Drosophila melanogaster: one gene and its partners. The protein of the gene in region 2 interacts with the protein of the main gene of each other region in a pairwise test. Each region holds a gene or a part of one and is shown on either strand. Other genes may lie near its edges.

Region 1 (7,913 bases), on a different chromosome or scaffold from region 2:
TTGCTTATTTCTATCTGATAGGCGATTAGCTCCCTTATTATTTTTTTCTGTTCTCGTTAAATTTACCAGCTATATATAAAACCTAATCAAAAATATGGGGTTAAAGGGAGAAATGAAGAAAATCGTAACTATAAGTTAGCTGCCTTATAAGCGGTTGGCTGGAGCCAGAAACAGTGCTATCGGCATTAATTAATTGGGGGTTAAAGTCCTTCCATATTGTGATATTGTGCGGAGATAGATTGCGATATCTGTTTCGTTTTGCGAATTTTATAAGTATTTTCTTAGATACCTTAGATACCTGGGTTTTGTTGTTTTGTTTTCTGTTTGTTTTGTATATCGTAATATTGTATTTGCGAAGGTGTTATTATCTTCCGTCCTCGTTGTTAAAAAATAAATATTAATTTATTTAAATGACGAAATTTCGAAAATCGCGGCGATGCTTTTTGAATTGTGTGAGTGCTCGTCTTGAAAATATCGAGTCAGGCCACACAAGACACTTGGGATTCCGATCTCCTCGCAAGCAAATAAAGGCGGCGGCCCTCGATCACTGGCTTGGATCGCCAGAAGCGTGGTCGGATATATTGAAACGAAAGCGCAAGTGAATCGCGCGGACCGCTCCCACCTGACGACCTCAGGTCGGCTGGCCGATTAATGTGTGTGCACTTGTAATTTGTTTGGCTGCTCGGGAAGGTCAGACCCCACGGAAAACCGACCGAGCTGCTGAAACACACGATGAAAGTTTCCATCGCAGGGCCGCACTGCATTAATGGCATTTAAATACATCGATGTGTAATTATGCACATGCATAGTTCCCAAAGCATAGGTTACGGGTGTCAGGAATGGAGGTTTTGTTTATTGTTTTATTGCGACTCTGCCTCGGGCATTCTAAATTGAGGAGAAGCCGCTGAGATCGAGGGGTCGACTTACATAACACTGGCGTGGTAAGTTTTCCAAAAATACGTAAAACCCGACAAAAACAATGAAAGAAAAAACAAAAAACAAAAAACGCACAAAGAAAGGCTGGGGAAAATGAGAGAGAGACAACAGCAAGCGACAGAGAAAAACTGTCCGAATCTTTGGGTAAATGAAATTAATGTGCGAAATGTATACGAGTAGGTCCCGTCAATGTCGAAAAAAGAAACGGGAAAGAAAGCCGGCTTCGACTAGCCGAAGTTTGTGTACCCTTGCAGACGGTCAATGGGTATCTATCGGTAATATTGTAATATTAATGATGTTATTTGCTGGAAAGGTGAGTACATGGTACTTATAGCTTTTTACTTCTTTTTAAATAACATATATAGTTACATTTACCAAAAGATATCAAAGTGCTCTTTTATTTCGAAAATTCGTATGCATTGCATCTCTTCTACAATATTTTGTTTAACCATGCAGGATAAAGGCGATTTACCATTTTGAGGTAAATTCTTAGAGCACCATTACTCGTAAAGTATAGCCTAGTAGATTCGTTGGGAAGTATGTATGTAACACTTCTATCGATATGCCAAAATAATATTAAAGATTCTCGCTTAAACATCTACTAGCTGACTAACAGGCAAGGAACTCGACCATACAGTTCTCATTTGGTATTTAAATATAATTCATAAGATATCATTATTAGGCAAAGGCTGTATAAACTAATAACTGTAAAAATAATACTTTTAAAATTAAATACTGGCTGCATTGCCAGACATCACAGTCGCTAGTCAACTTTTCCCTTTGGAATTATAATCCTTATATTGGCGTATTATGATCATTATATATTTCAAGATATAGGTTATATCGACCGCTATATCAAATCTTTTGTTACTTAAGGGCTCTGGAGCCTAAGTATGCCAAAAGCATTTAATAAACTTTTATCATAGACTTGCCTCCTAACCGAACGATAGCTGGATTCGCATTACCATCATGAATTGGATCTGTCCATCTCACCGCCGATAACGGCACATTTGTCTTTATAGCACCGCAACAGGTGGTGAGGCTAGTTCTCTTGACTCTGACGATGCTGTCACTGTCCATCGAATGATTATGCCCACGATGTGTTAACCCCGAATGGTACGAAGATCGTGGCCAAGCATCTCAGTCTCAGACGAGAGTCTCAGGGGCCAGAGAACCCGTACGATGTCATTGTTCTTTTCTTTCTCCATAGGACAAACCGGTTAAAAAACTTTCCTCATAATAGCAGAGCCCAAAAGTGCTTATTAAGCATGCGCTGCCAAAACACATATTAGCGAGCACCTATGTACATATAAACCAGAGGACTAATACATGCGATCTCTATAACCAAGATCTCATGGACTTTGGCCGAATTTTTATGTTGGCCCGAATAATTTCAGATTGCTTGTGGGTGTGACTGATACAGCCAGCCGATTGTATAGCTCCTCTCTTCTGAGAAAATCGAAGCCCGGCAATGAGACACAATCTTGAGATTTGCCGTGTAAACGCGAATGAATATTTGGATTTGATGTGTTTTCTGAGCAATCTAAGCAGATAATGTGTTTACTGAGTCTAAGCCAGTCGCGCCAGCCAAATAACTATACGCGAGGGCCAAGGTGCAAAGCGATCAATTAGCACTTTAGCACTGCATTGTTGCAATCTATTTGCGAAAGCCCTTGACTCTACGTAGCTCCAGGTTCGCTTTTCTGACCACCGGCCAGCGGTAATTGATGCCGCACCACATTCTCCAGGTGATACATACATATGCATACATACATACATACATACACACATACACACATACATAAATTTCTGATCGAAGTATTTAGCGCACTCGTTGGCTGACCCTAAAAACCTGAAAAAATGCGAATGCAACTACATTTCTCGACGTTTCCGCATTCGGCGGACAGGTGAAACTTTTTGATTGACTGACATAGGCGGCACACCACTGCACTCCTTACCCAACAAAGGTACACAGTAGACAATGAAGACAGCGAAATGCGTTCGGCTATTTAATACTATTTAAAGTCAGTTCTCAGGATAAGGAATTAGCTGCTATACCTAAGCTGCTGCTAAAATACTTCTCATACGGAAGAAGTTGTACCACTAAAAAGAAGAAATATTCTATGTATTCGAAGTAGCATAGAAGTACCTACTGCTAATACCCGCATTCCTCAAATAATGAATTTTTTTATCTCGATTGGGAAACAATGGTCAACAATATAATTTCCATTGTTATCAACAAAATTTACTTAATATAAAATTGTATTGAATAAGTGATTCATGAATTACAGTTGTAGACCGAAAGGGTCAATTGTTTTTTACACTTCATAGAACCAGATTAATCCAATAAACAATATTTAATTCATTAAAGTACGAATAGGTTACCAGAGAATCTATGAAAACAAGTCTGGGCAATCCTTTGGAATAATAATTCATCCCTCTCACGAAGGGCACCCACGCCCCTGTGCGCTCTCTCTTAGCCACCGACACGTGTGAGCTCTTTTGCTCTTTTAGTTGGCTGTTGCTTCACGGCGACTCTCTTCGGCATCGCCTACTGACGCTGCCGCTGCGAATGGGCGTGGCGGGAAGCAGAGCAAGAAACAGTGGACTACCGCCACTTTTTTAATTAAACCATGAACAAACAGGCAATGGCGGTGATGACTAATATCACCGAATCGCAAGGCGAGGGTGGGGAGCAGCTGGAAAATGCTTTCGCGGCTGTGGCGATACTCACCTGCGAGGTATGGTGTGGAAGGGGGGGGGGGGGGTCGAGCGGCGATTGGAATGGAAGAGGAATCCCGAGTGCACACACACAAATGCACTTGTGCACGGCCACAAATACACACTCGCGAAGGAGAACGAACGCAAGTGTAAAGGGCCCGCGCTTTTGGGAATTGAACAATCGACTAGTTTCAGCTTGGGCTGGCTGCCGATGCTTTTGATACTGAAACTTCGATACCGCGGGCTGCGATGCCGATGGCTATGGCGATGGCTACAAACAACAGCAACGCCAACAAAAGACACACACAAACACCGCGTTGGATCTCACCGCACATAAAATATATCCGACAACATATCGTAACGGACTTCACCATGCAGAAAATGCGATCTAGCCCAATAAAACTATATGCGCTTCCAAAAAAATATATTAATATCGAATTACTTCTTAGTCAACTAGCCATATCTTTCGGATTTCTTGGGAAACGACGACGCGAGTGAAATCGTTCAGCAACAAAGAGAGCGCGTTTTGCCAGTCGCTTAAATATATTTTTGTACAAAACGGTCTCGCAACTTCGAACATGTTAGATTGGGTTGGCAGCAACTAAGCAGAATGTTGGCACGAGTGTTGCCGTTTTAGCATTTTTAAAGCTCGACTTAGGTTATTTGAAGCCCGCAAGGACTGTGATAGGGATTACAGATTAAATAATATTGTGCGTAAAATCTTTGTGATTTGATAACCTGCATAGAAGGTACCAAGGAAACAGAAAAATAATATGGATCGTCGCGACTATACCCGTATACCCTCAGCCAAATGAAATGCAAAAGCATAAATTGACTGCGAGGGGAATACTTTTCACAGGCCGTTAATATTCTTTGAACTTGTAGTTAACTTTAAATAAAGGTTTCTGTGGCAGGATTGTAATTTTTGGCATGTTTAATTCTACACTAAATTAACTATTTGATTTATTTGATTTCTTTACCAAATAATTTGAGCTAGACATAATCTAGTTCTGGCTGTTCCGTTTCTAGATAATCTAGATCTGGCTATGGAAAATCTAAAAAGGCTGAACTGAGACGAGGCAAAATGATCTTTGTGGATTCCGTTCCGGAAAGAGTGACCGAATTTCGAGAATTCGGTACTTATCGATATTATCGGAACCCATTATTTAGCATTGTCATCATAAAAACGATATTTAGAGAATGTAGAATGTTAAATGTTTTTTAATATTTCTTGTAATCAAAACAAGATCGAGTTCCCCTACTTTAAAAGTCCTGTTACTCAAGTCGTATACTAAGTGCGAATGAGAAATTCCAACATTCTTTTAGCAGATCGAAGGAAATTTAAAAAACAAAATAAACTATTTAAAAAATTTTTCAAAAGCGTGGGAGTTTTGGGCGGTTTGTTGGTGTTATAAGGGACGAAAAACAGACAAAAGTCAGAGGGTTCCTCGACTTTGCGAGCGAGATGTTGCAAAATGGTATATCTATAGAAATTCGCATTACTGCGAGCGAGATGTTGCAAAATGGTATATCTATAGAAATTCGCATTACAATCAAATTACTTTGTAATTGTGACAGTGAAAGTCTCGTGAAGTCTTGCGTGTTAGCGTCGTAGTTTGGGGCGGCTTGTTGGCCTGTTCAAGAATATTATATTTTATAGAGTCGGAAATGCTTCTTTTTACCTTTATCGAATTTAGTAAAACCTTTTACGGCAAAAAAAATAATTCTCATAAAAGTGCGCTAAATAATAAAAAATGAATAAACAACAACGGAAGCTTGAAATTGAAATTAAAGATTGTTCAAAATTAAAAAAATGTAGTAAAAAATGTATACCAAATTAAACGACCAAATTTTACATTCGATTGTTCATATGGCTATTTCGACTCGGTTGTTCATACTGATCAAGAAAGTATAAAGTGAGCTTTATATGGTCGCAAATGCCTCATTCACTGCGATGCAAACACCTTACTGAAGTCAATGTATCCTTTTGGAAATAAAATAGTTTACATATAATTTAATAAAAATATTAAATATTGCTGAGACCGCCATATTCACATTAATTTTATAAAATCGAATTTTTTGGTTTAATTTGACTAAACAGCAGTAATTAATGCTCGGGCTTTGTAACAATCAACAAATACACTGCTTTGAAAGGAACGCCACTTTCTCATTTAAATCCACTTTAACAATATATTTCATATGGATCCGGAGAACTTAGAGGTGGGACAAAATTATGAAGGTTCCCAGGAATTCGATGAGAGCAGCACCAGCTCAATTAGCAACAAGGGCCCGGATGACAGTCAATTCAAGCGTGAGGCTGAGAAAGCTATTTGCATCATGCCGCCCCGACCGGGAACGACTATGATGAACTATCAGGAGCTATATATTCCGCGGAATCAGCTTACTGATGTATATTACCCCATTCAGGAGGCCCAACGATGGCTCACTCTGATGGACAAGATGGGCAAGGCACACCGTTTTCCGCTGCCCACGATCCTGCCGAAAGTGATCCAGACCCGCTACGTGCCAAAGCGGCATCTTCCAAAGGACGTCGAAGTGGATCGGAGGCGTCGTCAGTACCAGAAGATTAACTTGGTGAATGAGCTGGCCAAGGCGGGCCTCACTGACGACGTGCTGCAGCCCACCGAGGAGCAGTATAATGTAATGTCCGAGTTCGCCTTCCCACACAAGTTTCCCCTGAGCTACTTCGACGACAGCAACTTTGACATCAACTCTCCGGCGGCCTGGTTTGAGCTGGGAGTTGTCGGAGATGCGCACTACCCGCTTCCGGCGAAGGCGTACCTGCCTTACAACCAAAGCCTGCTGAACTGCCAGTGGGGCATGGCAGCTGTTACCGCGCACCACGAGGACTCCGACCTCTGGACGCTTCTATCGCTGGAGGACGGATGCACCTACACGGTACCCAAGCTTCAGTTCATGTTCATGGCTGAGGACCCGCACAAGTACATCAAGCGGCTGCAGGCCGCTGTTCACGAGCGGCACAAGGGGGAGCAGCTTATGTTGATGGAGCTGATCGTGGATTGTGTCCTGCACGAGGACATTGAGTCCACCGTGTTTTATAGCTTTAAGCCCATCGAATCGGTCCTGCAGGCGGCTAAGGTGTCTGAGCAGTGCAAAAGACGACTACGCTCCGAGGTGAACTTGGTGTTCGAGCGCCTAATGGCCCTATACGAGCTGGAGCAGTTTATCCTTAAGATGCCCAAGGAATTTCCCCAGTTTCGGAACATCAACCTCAAGGAATTTCTGCCCCGGTCTTTCGCCGTGGACGTCTCCGGGAAGGAGCGTCTTGAACTGCAGGCCCTTGGCATAACCATGCAGGAGAAGCGGTACGACTACCTGAAGGCCAGTCTGTTTTATTGCGTCGGTGGCATCGAGGCCATGGCCGGAGTGGCCATCGAGTGCCAGTACATCGAAACACTTTCGATCTTCATCTGCAGCTTTAGCAAGCCCCTGGCGCTAGTGGACTTCCTGCAAGCGCAGGAGGCGCATAGCGACAACGTGGCCACGTTTCTTAAAGTCTATTGGCCGCAACAGCTGACAACGGTCATCACCGTGGTCCTCCGAGCCCTGGGAAAGGGCTGGCTGGACATCTCCCTCAACACCTGGACGGTCTATCTCATGTGCAAGATCTCGCGGTTTATACTGCAGGTCAAGTTCCGTATGCAAGAGTCAATGGAGGTGCTGCTCGAGACGTCGCTGATGAACTTCTCGCATTTCGTTTGCGACCCCTGCCTGCAATTCCTTGAACTGAAGTCCAACTACAAGTGGACCAATAACTACATCGACACCGAGTTCCCCTTTCAAAAACCTGTATTCGCCATGACCCTTGGCATCAGCGAGGATCGCAAGGTGTTTTACTCCACTGACCCGGATGAGTTCCAGCCGGGGCTGGTCGAGATCTTTAAGAAGTGCCTGGAGAAATCGTCTGGAGTAAGATGCATTGATGGGTCTGTCATGAGTTTTTTGAAGTTCGCCCCTAACCTGTATATCCTGACGGTGGAGCTTATCGAGGATAGGTTCCTGAGGGAGAATGAGCTTCTGAAGAACTGCTACGCCAAGGCGGTGCTGCCTCTCAGGGCGTACGCCCGACTCTACGAGAGATTCATCGACTTTTACCTTCTCAATGTAAACACCTATATGCAGGCATATGCTCAAGCCCACAAGCCGTCCTCGGAGGTAAAGCGGGACATTCTGGAAAACAAGCGATTGAAGGAGGAACTGCGCGAAATCCTGCC
Region 2 (10,598 bases):
AAGTTATCACCTTGAGTTACTCCTTAAATATAGATTTACTTACCAATTATGACTTCTCAAACGCAGGGGCTCCGAAGATACGATCCTTTTCGTGATGAAGGAGATTTATGCCAGCCTGGGAATCAGCACAGACAGCCAGGTGCCGCAGTCCTCAATGACCATCGAGCGACCCGTTTCGCATGAGAGCAGTGTTAGCCACTCGCTGTTGCCGATGTGAGTCCACAAAACCACACGAGAGCTCTGTTGGATCCAACGATCCCACGTACCGTATACACCATAACTATATATAAATTTAGTACCAATTTATTTAGATATGTTATTTGTTAGCCGAATCATGCAAAGAATTTTCCATATGTGCAACTCCAACATGGTAAAAGGTATTATCAAAATAAGAAGTCTTTATCGTTTGAGTGACAAAACCGTAGCAAGTTCTTGAGCTTTACAAAATTACCTATGTATTGATCGGATTGGCACCCATGAGACCTATTTGTTATTTTTGTAATATCGCCTGTGTAACAACTAACTTTGTAACATTTATGTTAAACGAAGTGTATGTCTAACAAATTTTAAAATAAATAACTACCATTGTTTTCAAGTTTGGCGGGTTTTCATAAATCGAATTACTGTTTCAGCTTATCGAATAGTCGATAACTGCTCCGTTGCGGTATTTTTTGTTGCGGTCTAAGGCCTGGAAAAATACCAACATTCAGAAATCAACAATATGGAACGATGAAAAAGAATTATTTATTTTTTGAATAATACCGAAGGCTTCAAATATCCAAAACCATTAGACTTCCAGAAAGAGGTATTATTTGGGAAGCGCTTCGAAATGAAAAGGCACTATGTGATTCTTTCAATATACATTAATGTATTTAGTGTTAATATATAACCACAGTTATCGCTCAGTAATTATCATTTAAATAATGGCATTCAGAATGCTAAAATTAAACTACAGATGTTTTAAAATGTACTCGAATCGTTGTTGGATCGCATGCATATAGGCGGATGCAGAGATCGACAACAGAATTTGTGATATTTCTAGGACTTAGAGACTAGTCTAATTTTATAATCCTATATAGCTGCCTTTGCTAATCATTCTCTACTCCTACCATATTACATATATGTTCGCCCCTTTTTTCTCGAAAGACCACACTGTGTTCTTCATACCGGAAAAACTACACCCTAAACTTAAAATACTATTTACACTTGGTGGTCTGATCCAGCAGCTTTTTCCACAAATCGAATTGTTCGTTCGACTTGATCATGTGCACGCTGATTGCGTTGCGGATGTTGCACGGGTTAAATGAGATGCGTCGGTTAACGAACTCGTTCGCCTGCACCCGCTTAACATTAAGGCTCTTGGCTACTATGCCCGTGGTGAACACGTCCTCCAGCTTCAGATAAACGGTCTTCAGAGATCGCACGTAGAGTTCGTGCACAATGTCTCCGGTGAGTACGTAGGCGGGTCCAGTGGTGAAGGACGGGAATACTCCCGCCGCGAACTGATCGACGGACACATAGTATTTGGATTTCTTATTGCGAATCGGTTTCCACTTCTTGGCCAAACGACCGTATATGGTACGCTTGTCCTTGTGCTTGTCCAGGAAGGTCAGCAGCTTGGGCACATTGATGAACATGTCGTCGTCCGTCTTGAGAATGTACTTTGCCTTCGGGCAATGCACATCTGCCCATTCCAGCGTCGATATTGTCTTGAGCGTGAGGTTGTTGTACGAGTCTATGAAGTTTCCCCGTATCAGATCTCCATAGATGAAGTTCTCCTGGGTAAGCGCTTTGTTTATGGTTTCATTGGTGCCACGTCCTAGGACAAATGCCATGCCCACGTCCCTTCTCGTCCCGTAATGCATCCAAGTCTGCCGGATGGACATGCGGGCTGCATCGTGAGACATCGCTGAGCTAATAAGAACCAGGAGCTTAATAAACTCTCCGCCTTTCGGACATATGCGCTCCGCATCGATCTCCTCATCCACGTGGCCTGGCTCGTAGAGTGTCTCGGTGGCCACTCCCTTGGAGGGATCTACAGGAGCACTTGGCACCTTGCTCTTCGTCGTTTTCACAGGTGGCACTGGTGGTTTTGCGGATTTTGGCAGAGGGACTGCCGCCTCTTTCTTGGCCTCCTTAATTTCCTGTATCACCTTGGATTCCGGTTCCTGCTTTTCGGACTCAACGCCCGAGACTTCCAGTTTACCGTCCACTGCGTTGAGTTGTGCCATATCCGATGGATTGCCTTTATTTAGAAAGATAAACCACACCATTAATTGAAATGCAAACAAACACTCAAGCGAATTCTAGTCCGTCCCCATAGACATCTGTTCGACAGTAATCCAATAGTATGAAACAATATGTCATGTTTACAGCTCTTTCATAATGAAACACGAAACCTGGTCAAATAAGCGGACTGCACATTTCATTCTCCATTGTCGTGGAGTTATACAAATGGGTGCGCCGCCAGCGGGTCTTTGTCTAAGCAAAACAAAACTAAGGCAAATTATTACGCAAGATGAAACAGAAAGAGGATCAATTTGAAGGAGCAACTAAACTGTTTATCGATCTGGTTTAACAATTTGAAACCTGGATTAATAGGTCTCAAAGGTCTAGCGCCCCCTAAGTAATAGTATAATAATTACCCGTGCTACTGTTCGAAGTGATGTTCTTCAGTATCCTATCGGCGTTCTCAATAAACTTTTGCAAATTGGAAGTGGGTATGAGGAGGTCGGCATCGGAAAGGCCTGGCTGCACCTGCGACTGTGACTGGGGCAGTTGTTGTTGTGGTGACTGGGCGGGAATCGATTGTTTAACAGCCAACGTGTCGGCAGAGCTGTTGTTGTTGGTGCTACTGTTGATGTTGCCTGTGGAATAAACATTATTAGCTTAATTAGCGTCTAAGTCTTAAGCGCACCCACTCTCACCTGTGATGCCATCAACACTCTGACCATACTGCTGCTCCTCCAGCAGCTCATCCGCCATAACATTGGGCGTTTGGTCAGGGCCACCAACCTGGGGACTGGCGCCCGCGGAGCCACCGTCGAGCAGAGCATCCTCGTCGATGGTGGGCAGGCGGTGCTGCGGATGCCTCTTGTGTATCTCTGCCTGTTGCGGCGGTAATTGTTGCGAGTGTCTGCTGGATACGCTTTGCTGCTTAGACGAACTTTCACCAGGTGGCGAATTGTACTCCTTATCCGTGCTATTGACTGGCGGCACTTGGTCCATGGGCTGTCGCCCAGGATGACTGCCAATCAGCTGCTGTGGCGGTGATGCCGCAGGGTGCACATGGTTCGCTGTGAGGGTGCTAGTCGTTGAGTACGAGGCGTAGATGAAAATGGTTAGGATCACCACGATTAGGACTAAAAAGAAGCGTAGCATGCGCGTGTTGTGAAGATTGGCCATAGCCGCCATGGTGGCACTTGCAAAATCTCTCAAATCTCAGTCAGTCTAGGTCTCAGTTTCAGTCTGGACTCCGCTTCTCGTCTTCAATTTGTGAGTATTATGATAACGATCCCTCACGCTTGCGATTCCGACAACGAATGCGATGGAACTGCAATGAGAACGCAACGGAAATAAAGGTAAATAACTGATTCAGCTGATTTGTTATGTGCTCCGATGCCCGGCGCTATAAGATATAGAAGGAGAGAGGGCGCACTTCTGTCCAGCGATTAGATCATTATTTCCGCAATAATAAAACGACAATAATAATGGCAATAAAAATTCGTTCAAAACATTTAAGTGTATAATTAAATCGTAAATATTTTCTTATCCAATATAGAATGGTATTTCAAAGTCGAGTATGGCCAAAGACTCAGTTTTGTTGCTTTTCTTACCATTGGCGAGGAATAATGCAAATATTTGTGTAGAGAGTGAGCTAGTTGGAGTTCACTACAAAAATAAAGATAGCGTCTTATGTACTTTAAGAAACGTTTACAAAAGAACACTTAAACGTAATTAACGTTTTGTTTCATTTTTTTTTTTGCACAATATTTTTCAAAAATATAGTAAAGTCGATGCTTAGTTTTGAACTGTGTGAATGTGCTATTTTATTTCGGAAAACACGAGCGAAGGGCTTGGCTGTTTTGCATGGTAATGGGAGTGACGAACTGAAAAGCATTTGGGAAGTTTCCGTGGGCTAATGAATTTGCCAGAAAAAGGAGAACACACGCACAGCATCCAGAATCGTCACGACATCGCCATCGGCTCTGTCTCCACTTTGCATGCGCTCGAACAAGTCAACAACAGTCTTGACCCTATTCCGCGACTCAAGAGAACCCCAACGGAGGCAGAACAGAGCTCAAAGCACCGGACAGACTCATGCTCCATGCTCCAGGTGGCAGCGAACGAACCACTTGAGTCGCGTTCCATGGCCGCCTGGTCGATAAGATTTCTTATCGTTCGATCCCATCTGGGTATTTCAGGGCTTTCTCAGAATTCCAGTAGTCTTTATATGTATATCTATAGATTTATTGGGCATTTCTCTAGGACGCCATAAAAATAATGGTAGTAGTTTGCGACAGCTCGATATAAAAATCAATAAAACAGCAGGACTCAGAACCTCGTAACTCTTTTACCAACTTTCGATTTGGCCCCGAACCGTCTTGAATAGTCAATGAAAATCCCCAAGTGCGTCACTCTGGGTAACTGTGCTACCTTAATTGTTTGTCGATAAGCCAGTTCGTATCAATCTTATAACACAAATCTTATCTGGTTGTCTAGCGGAGAATGGTAAGTCATATATCTTACTCAAATACCTCATACTAAAGATGTTTATTTATTTGCACAGAATGTTTGTTGGCTAATTAATTATTTTCTTAAAGCCAAAAATATGTTTTTGAGCTTGATTTGAGTTTAATGCGGATTTTATCATAGTTTCTTTATTTGTTTACACGTGCCTAGATATCAAATAACTGTCAGGAAATGACGATTGAAACATTTTTGCCAAAACATCACTTATCTTACTTGCTACCTTTTACCTATGATTAAAAATCGTTTTGAAACCATTTAACAAGTTTTTGAAACTTATCTTATCTGCTTTGCAGAGGTGAAGGAACACCTTAAGTCGCAATTCGACAAGGTAAAACCCAATCGAATTAAAAGTTGTGTCTGCTTCTTTTTCTTTCGATAGAATGAGAACCTTTAAAAAGATGCAATTTATATCTTTTATTAAATGCAACACAAGCATTTTCATTATTGGTCACTTGGTCAGGCAAGTTAAACGCAAGCTGATAAGACAATGGCTAACTTCTAAGAATTTTAGCTTATCAATTAATTATAATCACTACAAATTTACTGTTCCACAACATTTATTATTTCTTTATTGCGATAATGCTATACTGATATCCACACAGTGACATTTAATTAAAATAGCTTCGCGAAATATTTTATCAGTCAAATGGGCTGATCAACTTCATCGATGTGGTCTGGTTTGGTCAACTGTCTGCCGGGAACCGGAAAGAATAGCCACGAGTACGAGCACAATGGAATTTTTTTTGGGGGGCTAAATCCGACAATGTCGTATCGTGTTTTTATGGCTTATCGTGAAGCTGAACGGACGGACGCACACATAGTACAGCGAAATTCTATTTCCATTTAGATCCGCAGCGTGACGTGCAGCGCATTGATAAGAGATAACCCTTTGTTTTTCCATCAAGAGTGAAAGTGTGACTTATCTTGTGCGATGAGACGATGAATCACTCTCTATGCATTGGTTAATTACAGTTTATAAATCGTTTAGTATATGTGCATTTTACTTTGAATTTCTGTAATAATCGCGACCCGTTTCTTATCAGACTTTCATTTCCCTTGCGGGATATAAACATTAAACATACATGTTGAATATGCTATGAACTAAAGGTTCTATTCTAGCAAGTCATATAAAAAAAATAAACTTTTTATCAGCCCAAACTTTGGTTTCTCTTCATAATTAAATCTATAAACAGTAATAAATTTAATGTTCTCCATGGATTTCTAACCAGTTCCCATAACTCACTAGGCATATAATTGTTCAATTTAAAGAACTTTGACTGTAATTGTTCCACATGTTTTAGCAGTTGCTTTTAGTGCCTTGTAATTGTGTGCAAAATTACCAAAGAGCCGTGAAATTTGACGAGAGCGCGTAATTTGATGAAGTGTAACTCGGATTCAGCGGAAAAAGTTGGAGGCTTCGCGAGGGGAGTGGTGAACGGAAGTGGATCCAAGCTTCCAATCCGGCTGGCGGTCGGTTATATTTTTTTTTTTTTCGTGGCCCCACTCCGACTCTGCTAATAAGTACAATGAACCGCAGATAATCGCCGGTTGGACGGCAAACGGGTTTTCGGGCGTCTTGAAACTATCTTCATCTCCAACGGCCCACTATCAATCACAGTTTCGACCAGGAAGATTCAGCTGGACTCCGGATCGTGCTAATGAAAGTCTTCAAAAGAAATTGCAACGAAGTACCTATAAATTTCAACTAAAATCTGTATTCCTACCAGTTGGCAGTTAACAGCGCCGTTTCATTTGTTTTTAAAACACCGAGTTCACAAAAAGCTTAATCACATAGATGTGCGTTGCATTGAAACAAGTAGAAGCAAAGATCATTTGACATTTAACTTTCCCGCAAATCATTTTAAATGCAAATTGAAGTAGGGAAATAAAAATGACTCTTCAAACTCATTTTTGTTGTGCTCTCAAGAAGCTAAACTTACTAAGGAACTAACGAGAAAGCGGAAACGTCTTAGCCTACAAATTCTAAATCTTGCCTTGGTATTCTATTCGTTGATAAGAAAGTTGTGGGAACGCATTTCTGGTACTCTACAGAATATTGTAGAACTTCGAGAAATTAACGCTAATGAGAGGGTAATAATTTGATTTCTTGCGTACATTTGTTCAGAAATCGAGCATTATTGCAGTCCAAGCCAGTGATACGAGGAACGCCACATCGACGTGGAGGTTAGGTGGCGTTAATGAAACCTCCACTTGACTTGGGCTAACTGGTGGTGCAATGTCCGGCCGTGGAGTTTGGAAATGTGCGCTCGTCGGTTGCTTAAGCAGACGTAAATGTGTGTTAATAAAATAACAGAAAAAAAAAAACAACAAAACAAAAACCCTAGGCAACGACGCATCGTCATCGTTGCGTCGCCGAGTCTCGTTGTCCATCCGAAATCTTGGAATCTCCGGGCAGTCAGACTCACTCATTATAAACTTACCTCCCAGTGCGGTTTAGCTGCGTCTCCCTTCCTCGTTCGCTGGAATCTGAGATGGTGCTATTGTTGGACCAGGGTCAAGCATAATTACTTGCTTGCCTGCTTATTTTTAGTGCTTATTTAACGTTAATAAATATGCCTTTTGTTGACAATTAGCGATGATGAATTGCTATCGTTGTTGTTGTTGTGGTTACTCTTCTGTTATCCTAATTTGTGTTGTTGTTGCTGTTGCTGGGCCCCAGGCGCCACCACGGAAATCGTGTGGCTTGGGGAATTTTTTCTTTCTGGTTATAGTTTTGCGCGTATTTCGGCATTAATCGATTTTAATAACGCCAGCCCGTTTCATTAGTCATGCGGGGCATGTTTTATAAATAAATAAGCATTAACACCTTGGCAAACGAAGCGATTTGTTGTTGTTGCTGCGAAGCAGTTTTTGATTTAATTTCGCGTTGCCCTCGATTTTTTTGGAGGTTTTTCGATTGCAGCCTGCTGATGAAACGCGGCTTTTTAACACTTTTAGGGCTTTGCACAATTGGCTGCGTTACAGCGGACGCAAATATTCTAATTTTTTCCTCTTTTTTTGTGGGAACACCATTACTCCCACTTCCGAAAACCAAACCGATTTTGTTCGCGATTAGCTCAACATTAGTGATGTAAAGCAACATCGATAAGTTAAAAATTTATGTTTTTACTTTCGATAAGTCGATAACTGTGCTAAAATGCATATGTTATGGTCACCCTATGACGGTTAACAGCACTGTAGACCAACAGCTGTTTAATTTGCAGCAATATAATAGCGCCTTTCTTGATAGGACCAAAGTTCATTAAAACCCCGAAAAAATTGGACCCTAATATTATTTTCCTTAAGTGTTTCATTTCCCTCCTTAATTTATGTAACTATAACGCAAACTTCATTGTGCATAGTAATCGGAATACTTATCGCTTTCTCAGATTTAGTGAACGAAGAGATGGCGCTGATTCCGGCTGTTACCAGACTCACCTCCTCCGTAATTCGGATACTGGGTTGTAATCCCAGTGCCATGACGCTCCAGGGCACCAATACGTACCTCCTCGGCAGTGGCAGTAGGAGAATCTTGATCGACACTGGTGACGAAGACGTGCCGCAGTACATCGCTCACCTGGGAGATGTGCTACAGCAGGAAAAGGCCTCCATCGACACCATCCTGCTGACCCACTGGCACCACGACCATGTCGGCGGTGTAAAGAGCATTGTGGGTACTAAATTGGCCGAAAAGGATTGCCGCGTATTCAAGTTTGGGCGTACAGATGCTCCAGATGTGTGCCCCGAGATACCGACGGATATCAAACTCCATCCGCTAGCACACAACCAAGAGTTCACCACGGAGGGGGCGAATGTGCGGGTGGTTCACACACCCGGTCACACCACTGATCATGTGGTGCTGGCCATGAACGAGGGCACACTCTTCAGCGGCGATTGCATCCTTGGCGAGGGCACCGCCGTCTTCGAGGACCTATTTGAGTACATGAAAAGCCTGGAGAAGATACTAGACATCAAGCCGCAGCGTATCTTTCCAGGCCATGGCAATGTCATTGAGGAACCAATTGGCAAGATTGAGTACTACATTAACCATCGCAACCAGCGAGAACAGCAAATCCTGCAGTTCTTCGTTCAGCGGCCCAACGAAAACTTGCAGGCTATGGACGTCGTGAAGGTGGTCTACAAGGAGACACCAGAAAACCTCTGGCCCGCCGCCGCCTATAACGTGAACCACCACCTAAGCAAGCTGGAGAAGGAGGGAAAGCTGCGGGTCAGCAAGTCTGCGGATGAAGAGTTCTATGTGTACCAGCCAACCAGTGCGCTCTAAATTCTTGATTTTCCTTTTTTATTTTGTTGAGCGTATATAACTATTTGTTTGTAAAAAATTGTTAAATAATTTTCATTTTCTTTATACCTGGTTATCACACTTTATGGTGTCGTCTAATAACATATTCCACAAGGTAAACTGCTCGTTATTCCTTACCATATGGATGGTAATTTTGTCGCGGATGTGGCACGTCTCGAATTTCGTCCGGGTGTTAGCCATCTCGCGCACATTTACCCGCCGGATGTTCAGACTTTCAGCCACAATGCCCGTGGTGAAGACATCTTCCAGCTTTAAGAATGCAGTATTCAGGGATTGGACATACAGAGCGTGAACAATGTCACCAGTGAGCAAGTAGGCGGGTCCGGTGGTGAAGTAGGGAAAGGTAGGCTTTCCATACTGAGCGTTGGATATGTGATATTTAGACCACCTGTTTCGAATGGGTTTCCAATTTTCGGCCCGTCGTCCGTAGATCGTTCTATTGGCTTTAAGCGTGCTAATGAGGGTCAATAACTTCGGCACGTTGATGAACATGTCATCGTCCGTCTTGAGAACGTACTTAGCCTTCGGACAGTGAAGATCAGCCCATTCCAGCAGAGAAATGGTCTTCAGAGTGAGATTGTTGTACGAGTCTATGAAGTGTCCTCTTATCAGATCCTGGTACATAAAATCCTCCTGATCAATGGCCTTCTTCACCGATTTGTTTTTGCCTTTTCCCAGGACAAATGCCATGCCCACGTCCCTTCTGCTGCCGTAGTGCATCCAAGTCTGCCGTATGGACATTCTGGCTGCCGAATGCCGAAGGGATGAGGTTATTAAAACTAACAACTGCGTCGATAACCCTTTTTGCGGACATATTCTTTCCATATCAATCTCACTGTCCAGGTGACCAGGTTTGTAGATAGTTTTCACAAGCGGCATTCGGACAGGAACTTCGGTATCTATTGAATACAATACCACTGATTTCTTTGCTAAAATATCTTTTGAGTCTAGCCCGTCATCTGTTGAAGAAAAGCAAAGTAACAACATCAATATGAGTCGACTAATGAATAATTAAATAGTTCTCACCATGGAGCTTTTCCTCATCAATTCTTCTGCTTCTAATTGCCGCAATAGAATCTGCAACATTTATATTGCCATCAATAGTTGTATAGATATCCTTGTTGCCTTCACTGCTGTTTCCTGAAATTTGAACGGCGAATCCATCGTCGAAATCTTTAATAGGCTCCCTAAAGGATCTTAGCCGTATCGCTTCGCCCACTAACTGTATTGCAGGATTTTTTGACATTACATCAGGTTTCGCTGTCGTAAAATAGTCGACTTTTTCCATTACCCCTACTTTGGAAACGTACGTGAAGACAGTAAAGCTGACAAGGATTAGTATCAGGATGCAGCGCAGCAGTCGGCCAGCCATGGCTATAAGTTAGTTCTAGTTTTCCGGGAATGTGACCGCTCTACAAGGTGGATTTGAACCAAGCACCCAAAAGTCATGTTTATAAAGTTCGCTTAAATAGGCAAAACATGAAAAGCATACTTGACAGATTATTTTTTAGTCTTATCTTAT
Region 3 (6,553 bases), on a different chromosome or scaffold from region 2:
GAGTCCGGCTCCGGGTGCTCCACTGAGCCACTGGCAATGGGGTCCTGGCGGTCGTGGTCGCCATCGCCATCGCCATCGTCCTCTCCTTCGGCACTTCCGCCAATGTCGTGGTGGAAGTGATGCAAGTGCTCGTGACTGTGGTGCTTCGGCTTCTTGCCACTATCCGTGCCCTGGCAGTAGCGTTCCGAGCAGATGAAGTATTGCCGCTCGTGGCAGTTGTCTGCCGACACCATGTTGATCTCGGAGCGGATCCTCACCTCCAGGCAGTCGTCGCACTCGGAGTGCTCCAGTGGCAGGACGTTGCTATAGTTGCTGTAGTAGCGCACCAACCGACCGTTGCTGATGTACTGGAAGCGACCCTCGTGGTACAGATCGTTGCCCCCGAACCAGAAATCCTCCGTGTTGCCCAGGCCACTCAGGAACCCAATGGCTCCGTCGAAGTCCCTTTGGTTACTCAAGTCCGCCAGGGTCAGTCCTTTGCGTAGGCAGTTGTTCAGGGCGCCAAACCAGTTCATCTGAATGGGTTTCATATTATTTCATAAGCCCATGCGACAGATCAACTCTTACCTTTTTCACCGAAAAGTAGTAGCACTTGCCGTTGATCCTGCGCAAATAGCGACGCGGGCAGGGGGGTCCTGATCCCAGGAGCTCGCCCCGCGGCAGGATGCTCAGCAGGGCCACGAGTGCAGTCAGGAGATGCTTCATTTCGCTCGCTTCCGCCGGTGCACAGTGAGCCGGCTCAAATCGCCTCCTGTACTTATATCCTCCGCTGGCCAGCAGTGCGCCCAATCGATTTGGAGCTCGCTGGAGCTGGAGCGGCATCTTCGGCAGCATGGCCAATTCAATTACAAGTCCATGCCGCCGGAATGCCTACGCCAATGTCGTGGGCTAATTTGCTCACCCGCCAGTGGGTCAGGTTTAGGGTCATTCAGTTTAATTGGCTATTAGATACACTCGAAGAAAACGAGCCGGAAAAGTCGCATGGGGTGCTGTAATTGCCAGTAATGTTAACCCTCTAAATTCCTTGATGGCAATTCATCCGCCTAATAATGGGCATATTGCGAGTAACTATTATATCATATATAGATGTTATAAAATTGTAATACAAGTTTAATGCAAATAAATTAAAAGATTATATATATGGTTTTGAAATAAGCAATAATTCTTAGCAGTATTCTAACTCATTCGAAGGTAGCAGAGCTTTCTTCTTCTGGAGTATGATGATGATAGATGGATATAAAATGCTTCAGTTCCTTTGACCCTGATCTGTCCTCCCATTTAGTTTGTATCTGCCGAAGTGAGTTAATTGCTGGCTATGAACTCGCTGGTAATCTTCAACAGCTCAAAAACGCTAAGAATATTAAGTTCTGTGATTCGAGCAACTGGAGTGACTTCATAGTCATTAGCATAACCCGCCCGAAGGGCTAGATGTCTGACCCGGCCTTGTTCTTTCCGATTATTGATTTACCTGGCAGGGTCGTGACATCAGCCATTGGATTGTCCGTGGCCAGGACACGAATCGCCCGCCTTTCCTTCTGTTGCCAGCTGACTCAGACGACCTTCGGTCGGATGACGATTGCGCCGGGTGGCCACAACAATTCGTGGGGCGTGTGAGTACCACGCCACCCCTTTCTGCCACGCGCGCTACTCTCACATATATAATTCTTTCGTATATTGTATCTCGATTGTGCAGTTGTATCTCACATGACATCATCAGCAATGGCAACAACAACGGCGGCCCCAGTAGCTCCATCGATTCATCACGGATTGTAGCTCTTTTTTTTAAGGCATCCAGAACTGGTGTGGAACGTGAGTCGGCAGACCTCAAATCGCAGTAACTCATAGATATTCGTTCCATGCCCGTATGTGTGTCCGTTCCGAGCTGGGTTCCCATGTAGCCCAAGCTACAGCTACAGCTACAGGTTTTCCTCTATCCGAGGCTTCTGCGCATTATTTCAGCTGCGAGTGCGACATCGACGAAAACAAAATCAGAGAGCAAAATCAAAATCCAAAACTAAAACCAAACCAAAACCAAAACAAAAACGACGCCAGAGGCTGTGAGAGAATCTGGGCTTATTGTGTTACCTTTTGGCCATGCTTCTAGCCGGTTTTCAGTGTTGACCACAAGTTGCCACAGTTTTGAATAAAGACTGAAGAACAAAATGCGTCGTATTACGCAAATGCCTTAAATAGGGCCGCTGGCCTTAGGAATTCCGCGTGTGTAAGCCATTAAGATATATATGTACATATATCCAAAGGATTTGGCGGGGAATATTAAACACTGCGGTTGCCTTATACGTAAGGCCACCTTTTTTAAGTTTAATAACTTATCATTCTACGAATGTATTTTAAGTATCTTTAAATACGATTTTAATTTGGAAAACAGCACAATATACTTAGCATGCATCTCTATACATATAGTTACATATTGTACAGTGTAGATTGCACGATTCCTTCCACTTAAATTGCTATTCTAGATTCTAGATTGTTAAGCAAGTCCAATGCCACATACATACATTCCTTAGCCATTAGCCATTAGCATTTGAAATGTCTGAATTCCCTTTGATTCACCCTGTTTTTTTTGAGCAGTAAAAGTAATTTTCAACACCTCGGCCGAGCCCACACATTCCATAATCTCGATACCCAGCAAGCGTAGAATAGAAACTATTATTTTCGCACAATTTTCGGCTCCTGCGGTGGCGATTGGCTCATTAAATGCGAAATGCGAAATGCGAAATTGGCCGAAACTAAATTATTTGGAAATGAGCCGAGTGTATGGGGCCATTAAAGTATCTCTGCGGAGAGAACCGAATCAGAATAAACACATTCCCGATCACAATCAGAAAGCGTGAATAGACCGCACTAGAAACTTGGGGGCGATTTCATTCGCCGGCTGCCCATTATGACATCACATACGCCGAATAATTTGAATACTCGAGCTTTGTTTGCCTCATTCGCATACAAGCATACTGTATATTACAAAGAAATTCCTCGGCTATTTCCGCCCGTTTCCGTTTCGCCCAACCGATTCGCACCCGGTTCCGAGTTGAGCGGCACAATGTTTCTATTTGAGTGGACGCACACGTCACTCCCAGTGAATGCAGATTCGAGGGGACAGCAAAAGCTGGCGCTCGTTAATTTCTATTAAATTGCGAATATAAGTCTCAAGTCTCGAATTTTAAGGCTGACGCCATGGGGCTGGCGATCACGATTTCAACAGCCCCTAGTTGCGCAGTTTCTATTAATAGGAAAGTGTCCCAGTCTAATCGATCCGATTTAGTCATGTAAATAGTTCATGCTCCAGCTGCTTTGTTTATGTTTCGGCAATTACCTGTCTGGAATTTGGAATCTGAAATCTCAAATCTCGCATCTTCGATCTGATCGGCGCTCCACCCTGCTGATTGCAATCAGGCTATAAATTATAATTAGCGCCAGGCCAGAGCTTAGTTAGCATTCAGAGGGCCAGTCAGCATGTTTCCTAGTCGCCAAAACCAAAGTAATCCCATCCAGCCAGCACAGTCAGGATCTAAAATGCACTCCTCATTCAATCCCCAGCTTCCTTGAAGAACTTCGGTGACAAGACCGCCAACCTCTTCAGCAAGAAGAAGGATGAGGCCGAGAAGCTGGCCAACGAGAAGGCTGCCGAGGCCCAGAAGCTAGCCGAGGAGCAGGCCAAGAAGGTGGGCCAGTCCGTACAGCAGACCAAGGGCGAGGCCGAGCAGTTGGCCGCCAGCACGGGTGAGTAACGAACATCCAAAAAATAATGAATGTAACACATAAAAGATGTCTTAGAGAATTAATTGGAGTTATTAATTCTAAAGACTTCCAAAAACTCTTGCAACGAAGAATTGAATGAGTCCCGTTTGAGATAACTTTCAAAATCAACTTTCAGTTCTTGCTAAAAATGTTTTCTCATTAGCATTCCATTTCCAATTTATCTAAAACGCAAATCTTTTAAGCATATCAAACACAAGAGAACTTAATAAATGGAATTCTTTAGTGACGCGTTGACGTAAAACATGTTTCCAAGAATAAGATTCGCATTTTTGAAAACATTTCTTCATAAATATTGAAATATTTCTATAATTGTGAAAAGCAATTTAATGTGCTAGAGATTTATAACTAAACAGAACATCAATGCTATGTTTTATGCTGGAGCAAAGCCCGACCAATTCAATAAATATCTTTAGGAGCACTTTTAAAGATATTTTGTAAGAATTTTTCCCACTAATATCTCTCTTTATCATACAGCCAAGGAAGCCGCTGCTCTGGCCACCGCGGAGGCTCAGAAGGCTGGACAGGCGATTGACCAGGGTGTGAACCGTGCCGCCGGAGCCGTCAACCAAGGCAAGCAGGCGGTGGACAACACGGTGGCCCAGGCGGCGGCCGTGGCCCAGAACTCCAAGCAGGTGGCGGCCAATGTGGCGGAGGCCTCCCAGCGAGCGGCCGCCAATGCGGTGGACCAGACCAAGAAGGCGGCCAACGACGCCATCAACAAGAGCGTGAAGGCCGCCGAGAACGTGGCGGACCAGAAGCTGAAGCAGGCGGAGGGCGCCATCGATGGGGCACTGAAGCAGACCAGTCAAACGGTGGACCAGAAGCTGCAGGAGGCCAACCAGTATGTCGACCAGAAGCGCCAGTCCGTCGAGAAGACCGTCCAGGATGCGGCCGGACAGGCCCAGGAGTCTGCCGGACAGCAGGCCAACGCCCTGTTGGGCAAGCTGCATCTGGGTCAGAAGTAGAGGCGTCTCCCTTCGCGGTGCCACCTAAAATATCTTGATGTGAAAATGCTTTAGATACAAAAACAAAAAAAATAGAAAGGAATTTGCTTCAATGTAACGAGTGCCAGTAATGTGATTGCTAAATCCTCAATTGAATATACACAATATATATATATATATATATTTACATATTTTTTGAATATCGCGCGGACGGATTATTTTGCAGCCGCTGCTTTCGATGTGAGCATTTCAGCACATCCTCTGTCCGTATCCGTACAAAGTGTAATTAACCCCTTCGTTCTTCTTCTTCGGCCGAATTTTGTTACTTTGAGGCATTTGATATTTTATATACAGCTGCGCTGAGTATGCTTTTAATATACGTATATTCTGTTTATGTAGAGATGTATGATTAAGTACCTTTAACTCTTGCACAACACATTGCAAATGTGTTTTTAATATATTGGATTCGAATGAGATTTGTGGTCTTTCAATTGGTGGGGGTGCCACTAAGCAAAGCGTATTATATGTATATATTTGGATATACTGATGTTATGTTGATTATATTATTACTGAAACTTTTATTAACTCATTTTCAATTTAGCGCCAAATGGTGATGTATGGTAATACTGTAATCTGGCCACACTGAATTTACTTCGGCTGCAAGCGCAAATAGCGCCACCTACATGTGGGATAGAACGCTGAATGGTTTGAAAACAGGGTATCCATGTTTTATCTCGCTTTTACCGTTTCATTCAAAAAAATTAAATTACTTTTTAATGAAGTTTTCAAACTACAAGTTTACTTGATGTATTTATTTGGGCTTACTATTTAATTACTGACTTATCTTGGCCATTGGTTGTTCAGAAAATAATATTATTTCTGGACATATTTTGAGCATATAATTACAGCTATATACAATTTCTTTAATAAAACCAATAAATCAGTTATAAATTCTACACATTCCACTGTTCACCCAAAAGTGGTAACATTTTATTTTGCTTCTAAGACAAAAGAAGTTTTTTCCGGCTTACCCTTTCCCCTTCCTCCAGAGCTGCCTGTCTCATTACAGAACCTTTTCACAGATCCAAGGTGAGCAGCAGGGGAAACTTTCGCAGAAAAGCGGACCATGGAGATGGACGGATCTATACAAATAGACCGAAACATGCAGAAATCTGCTAATAGAAGAGGTCATATTGTGTACTCCGATATGTCGGGCAACTTTTCGTCGAACAGAAGCCGAAAGTTGTGTTAGGTTTTAATTATGGGAAAAGTTTGTTGTGGCTAACAAGTGACCCCGGTGCATTGCAACGTCAATTGAACGCACAACTTCAAAGGACCAAAGGACGAAAGGACCAAAGGACGAAAGGACGCTAGGAATGTGTGCAAAGTATTGGCAGCAAAGTGCTGACATAAATTCAGGTAAGAGCGATTTTTAATTTCAGATAAGTGCGCCTGCTGACTGGAAAGGCGAATGATAAATGCATTCCATTTGCGATTCAAGTACTAGTGGGTGCGAGGCGCCAAATTCAAATTTATGCCGGCCACGCAAAAGTCGCGCCAATTAGGTTAGCCCAAGCGAGTTGATTTAAAGTTAAGCGATACGAGCGGCGCGATTAATTACAATAACTGTTTATCAACACATATTAATCATGGTTTAACATGCTCCCAGCTCGTGTTGACCCAAGCAAAATGGCGTGCAGCGGAGTTCCGGTCATGTTGGGTATGCCCACTCCATACCCTCCATGGGCTTCCTTTAATTTTCAAAGTTTAGAGGGCGACATAAAGTGAATATATTTGGTGAGCGTAATATCGTTTTTAATATATTATGACCT
Region 4 (7,871 bases), on a different chromosome or scaffold from region 2:
GTACGGGCGAGAATGATTTGCAGAATCGAAAAATGCCACTTGACTTAACCGTTATTTAATAATCAGAAAAGCACCAGCAGAAATAACAATTCCGCCATACACTGAAGTATAAACTAGTATATTTGGAATATAAGTCTATTTCATTAACTTATAAAGATTGAATGGAGTTATTTTTCACATAGAAATTTGTTAAATATACGAATAGGATATAGAACCGTATGGAACTGTATTTTCGGTACCATTTTGTAGATTCTAACCTTTTAATTTTCGAACCGTGTTTAGGTTTTGCAATCCAACGTGTCGGCTGCTTTTGTGGTTTCGAGGGCTTTTGAGACTCCGGCATCGCGAAATCAACGCATCAATCATCTTCGGTTGCACAACTGCAGGGAGGTGCAGTCCAACCAATTGCAGCTTTTCCCAGATGATAATACCAGTTGCCTTCTACCAATATGCTCATTAGCACCAGTCCGATGTAAATTCTACTGCCTTGCTATATAATCGCTAGGGTGATTTTACGAGATTTGCAACCTTGAACTCTGGTTTTTTATTATTGCCAAGTGCGGATAAGGCCAATAATACTAACGAGAGTCCAAAAATAAACAAGCGCCACAAAGAGCTGGATCCGAGTCACAAAAACTCTCCTAAGCTTGGCCCAATAAACAATGGCTTTGGCCGGCGATCGACACCCACCACACCACCACCAAAATTGGTCGTGGTTCATCTGCGTGGCATCATTACGATCGTCATCTGGCGCGGCTCGTCCGATTGAGACTTGAATTGAAGTCGATATTTCTGGGCCGAAGGTTGCGCTATTAAGTATACGCCGCATGTGCTCGCCAAAAACCAAAAGCCAGACTAACGATGAGAAGCATCTCGGAAAAAAGTCATTGTACTCCGCCAGGGAATGAGCTCTGAATAACCTGATGGTTCCGGTCATTAGGTCCCCGTTTATTGCGGTTGGATCGATGGTCGGCAAAGGTGGATAAACGGAGTATATCAAATCGATCGGAAGTCGCGGCCAAGTTCCTTCAACTTTGCGATTATGCAATCGCATTGAGAAATTAACACACTGAACTCAAATGGTGAACTGGTGCACTTTCGTTAATGAATTTAATTAGATTATGAATATTTTTCAGATTGCTTTAACATTTCGATTTGTATGTAAATTTTCTGCAAATGCTCAAGGTTGAATCTCTGGGTATAAAGTGCTTATTTATTTTGATTTTTTGTTCACATAAATTTTACAACTAGGCGTGGCTTGCCGGCACCTAAAACTTGTGTTACAATATATTGTCGTGCGCGGCATTAGTTAAAGGACTAGTGAAGTGCATTCTAACTGGGAAAAACATATCCATGTCTGGTGAGTACAGTCGCAGTCTAAATTCTGATGATCAAATGGAAAATTTCAGAGCAAGCGGAAATATTACCTGCCATCTCTGTCCATATAAGGAGGATCATTCTGATCTAGCATGGTCAATTCATCGTGAGCTTTTCCTCTAGTCATACAGCCACTAGAAAGCCCTTGAATCGATCGTATTCATACTTCCCCCAATATGGCAGACGCGTGTTTCGGATCTGTGAGATGGGATCAGCTTAGGGCGACATGTCTATACATATTCATCGTCTCCCCCGCCGACTGTTTGCACATGTAAATTTGGCGCGGCTAGATTACATGGTCAGTTACGTGTTATTCGGTTAGAATTCCGCAAAAAGATCTTGTGCTCGGCGGCCATGCAGCGGACTTTGAGACGAAAAATGCAAATGTTTGCTTTGTTGCATTGCTTGGGTTTTTTGTCGAAAAACGCATCAAAAGTGCAGGGTAATGGTGAGATTTTTAGCAGGTAAATTAGAATAAAGGTAGTTGAAGGGTCGTTAATTGAGGGTAAGTAAATCGTCAACCAAGCCGCTGTCAAAGTTCGATCTAATTGCTTAGCTCACAAAAATCGACTACGTAACGTTTCAAGCTTGCACAAATAACAAGTAAGCGTCGGGTCCTCCGAAATATTAAGTATCCGCCAGGTTGCCTGCAACATCCAGGTCTCGGTAGCCGCTTTTCCCATTCGGGAATTTGTATGTTTCAGAAGTTCACGGCGCATTTTGGCCATTTATTGGCCATCACGAAGGCAAACGGAGGAAAGCCAAGTATTGGTCATTATAAATATTTAAGAGCCCAAGAGGCAAACTGGTTTGGTCAGCCCCATCTTCTTCTGCTTTTTACCGCATACGTATCCAAAGATTGGGCTTTGTTGCTGGCAACCTTTCCGCCGCTCTCCCTCGCCGTGATTTGATTTGATTTGATTTGATTTGTGGCTACGTTAATTTTTGCACACTTTTCCGATATGAAGGGCCGGGCCTGGGCAGGGGTTAATTAACGGACATTCTTGCCGAACTTTGAACTGTGCAATCATGCGCGCTGCCAAGACGCGGCAAAAGTACCGCTCCGATATTTGGATTGGCGGCAATTAGCGCCGCACTTGGGTGTGGGTGCAAAGGCGGGTGATACCCCCACTGGTGGATACCAAGAATTCGATTCCAAAGGGCCGCTGGCCGATCTCGCTCTCGCTCTGGCATCCTGACGCCCGACCCGATCGCTTCGGCTGTCAGAGCGAGAGCACACATCGACAACCTGTTGCTCAGAACCTGTGGCTAGCGACCGAAGCTTTCGACTTCGGCTCACCTCAACGCCAGCGCCATCGCCACGCTCGCCGAAAATGAGCGGTCGGCGGCGCCGACGATCTGCGTCGACGTCTGCGCCAAGTCCGCTCCTACGACTGCGAGGCGGTATAAAAGTAAAGCGGCAGCGTGAAATCAAACTTATTTCAGTGTTTTTGATTTGAATGTAAAAAGCGCACGCTCGCCCAGTCGCTGTCCAGTTGTTGTCCAGTAAAGTCCAGCGGAGCAGCAGCAGCGGCAGATCGGTCGCATCAGCAGTAGCATCAGCAGCAGTTCCCCGCAACAGTGATGTAGAAACCATAAAACCGTATAACGATGGTCAAACAGTGTGTGCGTGTGTAAAACAATAACTAAAAACCTACAAGCAAGAAAAACGAAAAAAAAAAACGAAACGAAACGAACAAGGATAGTGCGCTAAAAAGTGATAATTCGTATACCAAAGTCGAGAGAATCTCTGTAAATTAGTCAAAAAAAAAAAAAAGAAAAAATAAATAAATACAGTACGCTTCCTTGTAACAAACGGAATATAAACGCGCATTTAGTACCTGTTGAAGCGAATTTTAGCACAATGGTAAGTAGCGGGGGTTCCCGACCGAACACCCAGTGTGACTCAACGGAAAATTGATGCCACTGAAACCTCCTTTATTAAAATGCCTTTGCAACCAGTAATTTCGATGCCGACCCCCAACATGCAAGCCTGAATAAATAAATATACATGATCGTACGTTGACTTGGGCTTTCCGTTAAATCCCACAACCCACAAATGACCCTTTGCACACGACTCGTGTGTGCTGCTGCTGCTATTAAGCAAGAAATTAATAATAAAAAAAAAAATAAATAAAGCTCCTATAATGAATATCCGCAATGCAGCCGTTAAAATTAATTGAGCAAATTATTAATCGAGAAAACCTCTCGAGCACCAGCCATTCCTGGTTCTTATTCGTTTTCTTTGGAAATGGAAAAAAACCGCACGCCAGCAACTGGTTTTCGTTTTCAAGTACACATTCGCTAGCAAGGTTTTCCACTGTTTTTTCCCAAATGCATTTTTGCCGACTCCGCGCAGACCTTTCCACGCTTTTCGCCCACTTTTCCCCCGCTTTCTGCCACAAAACATGAGCGTTTTGCTCTGTTCTGTTTTGCTAGAGCCATTCGCTTTCGAGCTCCGCCAAAAGTGCATACAGAAACTGCAAGTGCTGCACTTATTTCGAAGCTGTCGCTGTGTTATGTCCGCAGTTGCAGCAGCAGCACTTACACCAGCAACATCACTGGCTGGCGGTCAAGTGAAGTGAAGGCTGGCTTTTGGCTTTGACCAGCTCACTAGCCCACCAGCTCACCAGCTCACCAGCTCACCAGCTCACCAGCTCACTGGCATGACAACATTTCACACGGAAATGCAGTGCATCGCTGACCTTGAATCTCGGCCGGGGATATGGGATAACTGGCGATCGGAGCGCAGGTGAAATGATAGCCAGTCAGGGCCAGGCCGACTCATTTGTCCCGTCCACCTTACTTATGCTTTCGGCCCATCATTGCAGATGCTGCTGCTGTGTAGAAATCCAGTGATTTTCATATTCATTCAGCAGCTCTGCAAATTCGAGAGAAAAAACCCCAGTGGGTTAACCAATCGCCGCCGCTACTACCGCTGGCTAATGATCACTGGCATTGCACCATTTCACAAAAAAAAAAAAAAAAGAAAAAAAAAAATAAGCAGGCAACCCAGAAATCGAAACTTATTCAAATCTTCGAGTTGTTTTCTTCTCCTTTTGGCCTCTTACACAATGATTATTACACCTCGATTTTATTTTCGACTGGGACTTTTGCCGCATTTTTGTGTTGCCTCTTTTGACACTGAAAAGTGCAAAGGCGCTGGCGGCGAATTTTACTAGTTGCCAGTTGGCTATGGGCGGCTATGGGCTATCGGGTCTGGGTTGTTTGAGGCTGCTTGTTGGAGCCAGAGCCACTGCCACCCAGCTGCCAAACTGCGCAGCCCCCGCCAAGTGATCATAATAAAAAAAAATGTGCCTTAATCAGCCGATTTGCTTGCATTCCCTGTGGGCCAGTTAGCTACATTGGAGAGCCAGTCTCAGACGCATTGACGTCGCTTTATTGTTGACTGCCGCTCGGCACTCAGCTGTTTTTTGGTAAGAGAATCATGTAGAGAGCATATAGTAAACACAAAACCATAGGCAGAGTGCCCTCTTAGTACTTAGTGTGTGTGTGTGTGTGTGTGTGTGTGTGTGTGAGATAACGCTTGCCGCATGTGACTGAAATCGCAGTGCATTCGCTGCTCCATTTCGATTTGTTTGGCTCCACACGGCGTATGCGCGATTTTCTCAGTAGCTAGCTAGTCTTCGTTCACTTCAATTGCGAATATGCCATTTGGGCAAAGGTTTATTGTTCTACATAAAAAAAGTGCGTGTCTCTCAGCAATTTTTTTACTGGCTGTGTATATTCCCGAGCAAATTAACACTTAAAAACTGATAACGCAAGCGAAGAGAGGAATTCGAGGTAGATAAACGTAAAGAGACCATTAAACGGAGAGTACCTGAAAATGATTACATTTATGGACTCTTATCGGCCCGTGATTGAAGTAAGTGTCATTTGAAATTCAATTATTGCTCGTTGGAGATTAGACAGAAAAGTTATGCCAGTAAAGGTGTTAAAAACACTAAAAATAACAGCTTTTAAATTATTATTCAAACACGCTGGCTTGCATATTTTACAGCTCTTTGAGTGCCTTTTTTTTTTTGCAATTTTATACAAACTCTTCGTTCCCGAAAAAACAATTAATTTATACATATTTGTCGCTTTAAACTGGGTCGGTTGGATGAATTTATTTGTATAAATTAAATTATTTAGTGGGCCATGCTGTCATACCGAATTCGTGATTAAACATATTTCCATTAGTGCGAATTTAGATGGGACTTAGGTGCTAAAGTTGTTCGATTTTGTTTTTAAGTATTTTAAAAATGTTTAATAATATTTTCTAAATAATTTCCTTGTCGTACAACAATAAATTACAAATAAATTCCATTTTAAAGCAACGAACGCATTTGCAGTAATATATTTTCGACACATTTAATCCGAACACAAAATAATTAAATCAACATCAACATTGTGGGGCTAAAGCAAAATTTAAATTAGTGGACAGAAACAACCTGATAAATACGCGAATGTAAAGTGATTGAGGAGCTAAAAGTCATTGCTTGTTTAATTGTGTGGCTAGTGATTTACGGGCTTGGGGGCAGAGAACTTTAGGCTGGGAAATGGCAGCAGGGACGAAAACCAAAGTTCGACATTCCCAATTCGAATTGCATATTATGCCTGAATGCCTGAATCCAAATGGTATGGAACCATTTTTAATGCAATCGTCTAACATAAACGTTCACGAAAAAATCAACATTGGCGGCCTGACAAACGCAATGTAGAATGAATCAGCTAAAATATATCCCCCGAATTGAGGCTTTCAAATGGTATTTGGGGAACTCACTTACACTTACGCACATTTAGCCAACCTGTTGAGTATTTGCAGCTGTGCACTTGACTACTGGCTGAGTTTTTAGTTGCTGCAAAAACTGCTTTGCACTGAAAGAAATTGGTAATCATATAATCTTATTAACCAAAAAATAAAAATGCTCAAAGGTTTCGAATTTTCCAAAACCTATTGAAACTTCTTCATATTACCATATTTCTGACTGACCTAAATAGTTAGTGAATAATGTGGAAAATTAAATCTATTCAATACTTTATTTGCATAATCAAATCATTCAGATGACGAAACACGCCCAAATAAAATGTATATTAGTTAATTAATATTGATACATAATCAGTTAACTTGACTGTTGACCAGATTGATCTTCATTCATTGTAATATTTTAAATATTAAACAAATTGTGTTTTATTTAAAATGTATGCATTCATAAAGAGTTATCTTGATTGTTTTTTGTGTGAATTTCAACAACTTGCAACTTGAAACGCTGCTGCGTTCAGTGAGCGTAGTAAACCGCCCCCGAGAGCAACAACACCACTTCCTTGCGGCAGCACAGCCGTAGCAGCAGCAGCAGCAGCAATACAACAACATACACTCGAAAAAAATTGTCTTGCACTAATTACTGGCGATTTGGGGCCAACGACAAGCGCGCGGCTGGGCAGCAAGAACCACATACAACTCGATTGCCAAATTAACGCGATTTAGCTGCTTTTAAAAGTTGCCGGAGTCAAGACTTCTCTGGCGAAACACACACAAATGCGGATGCATATAGGCCCCGCATACATCTTATTGTTGCGGTGTGGCAAGTGCATTTGGTGCACATGTTGCTGGCGCGTTTTTTTCCGAACTCGGTTAGGAAATCGCCTGCGATTTCAATCGCGTGCAAGTCGCGCGCAGTCTGGTATTCGCTTGAAAGTTTAAAAACGCACGCTGCATTTTCAACTTGACCCACAACAGCCGGGAATCGATCAGCGGGCTGTAATCGGTGCTTTATTGTCTTATTATTAATACTTTATTTTTTTCTGGTGTTTTTTTTTTTAGCGGCTTTCCATTTACCGAAGATTTGTTTACGCATTTAACCAATCGCGGCATGTTGCATCATCGCTTGTCATATTAGACAAGATGCTGCCGGAGTAAAAGTCGCGGTCTGAACCTGAATGTTAACTCCGAAAGCCAGTTGCAGATACAGATTCGTATACACGAGCAAACCCTCCGCGCGCCTCTGTGTTTCTTTTGATCCCCCCTGTTTGTTGGCTGCGCTCAACTTGACCTATAAATTGATTTTTATGTTGCGCAGGTTCGTGCGACTGTGTTTGATTTTTCTTTGGCCCTCCCCATACAAAGCAATTTTTTCTTTAATGATCGAAAATCATTAAGTGCGACACGAGTTTGGGTCTCAGCTCCAATCGGCTTCGATCGATCGCCGATCCCCTGATGCTCCACTCATATGGGTTCAAACCAGTTTGGCCCTTTACATTTATCTCTCATTGCTTTTTCTTTTCCACTGCTGCGGCTGCTCTTGCTGGGAAAGTAAAAGTGTTGAGCTGGACAATTATGCGGCTCTACAAACGGGAAACCATAATTTTTTCTTACTGTGCAAATTGCTTAGTGCCGCCCTGGCAGATGAGACTTATATAAAAGTCGTTAAAATAAATCAAATCAAAGAAAGAGGTTTAGAAATGTAAATGCCGCAAATGCTGAATTTCTC

Evidence for each region.
Region 1: the proteins of CG8668 (region 2) and CG31523 interact in a two-hybrid assay, tested with the Drosophila melanogaster proteins (one large-scale study listed by BioGRID).
Region 3: the proteins of CG8668 (region 2) and CG1648 interact in a two-hybrid assay, tested with the Drosophila melanogaster proteins (one large-scale study listed by BioGRID).
Region 4: the proteins of CG8668 (region 2) and Elovl7 interact in a two-hybrid assay, tested with the Drosophila melanogaster proteins (one large-scale study listed by BioGRID).

Annotation. Positions count from the first base shown.
Region 1 is NT_033777.3:4,474,963-4,482,875, forward strand, and holds the start of CG31523 (uncharacterized protein), read right to left. Parts: upstream 4,246-7,913; 5' UTR 4,100-4,245; exon of another isoform or gene 3,671-4,099; intron 465-3,670; exon of another isoform or gene 290-464; intron 1-289. Other genes in the region: sac (sterile affecting ciliogenesis), read left to right, coding at 5,857-7,913.
Region 2 is NT_033779.5:8,124,242-8,134,839, reverse strand, and holds CG8668 (uncharacterized protein), read right to left. Parts: upstream 7,840-10,598; 5' UTR 7,194-7,839; exon of another isoform or gene 6,868-7,193; intron 3,554-6,867; 5' UTR 3,415-3,553; coding exon 2,928-3,414; intron 2,868-2,927; coding exon 2,646-2,867; intron 2,246-2,645; coding exon 1,197-2,245; 3' UTR 851-1,196; downstream 1-850. Other genes in the region: PAPLA1 (phosphatidic acid phospholipase A1), read left to right, coding at 67-217; CG12375 (uncharacterized protein), read left to right, coding at 8,159-9,037; CG8673 (uncharacterized protein), read right to left, coding at 9,119-10,035, 10,103-10,448.
Region 3 is NT_033778.4:9,809,667-9,816,219, reverse strand, and holds CG1648 (uncharacterized protein), read left to right. Parts: upstream 1-3,445; 5' UTR 3,446-3,471; coding exon 3,472-3,496; intron 3,497-3,555; coding exon 3,556-3,738; intron 3,739-4,251; coding exon 4,252-4,742; 3' UTR 4,743-4,901; downstream 4,902-6,553. Other genes in the region: lectin-46Cb, read right to left, coding at 1-515, 568-705.
Region 4 is NT_033777.3:7,990,793-7,998,663, reverse strand, and holds the start of Elovl7 (ELOVL fatty acid elongase 7), read left to right. Parts: upstream 1-2,811; 5' UTR 2,812-3,241; coding exon 3,242-3,244; intron 3,245-7,871. UniProt on the Drosophila melanogaster protein: Catalyzes the first and rate-limiting reaction of the four reactions that constitute the long-chain fatty acids elongation cycle.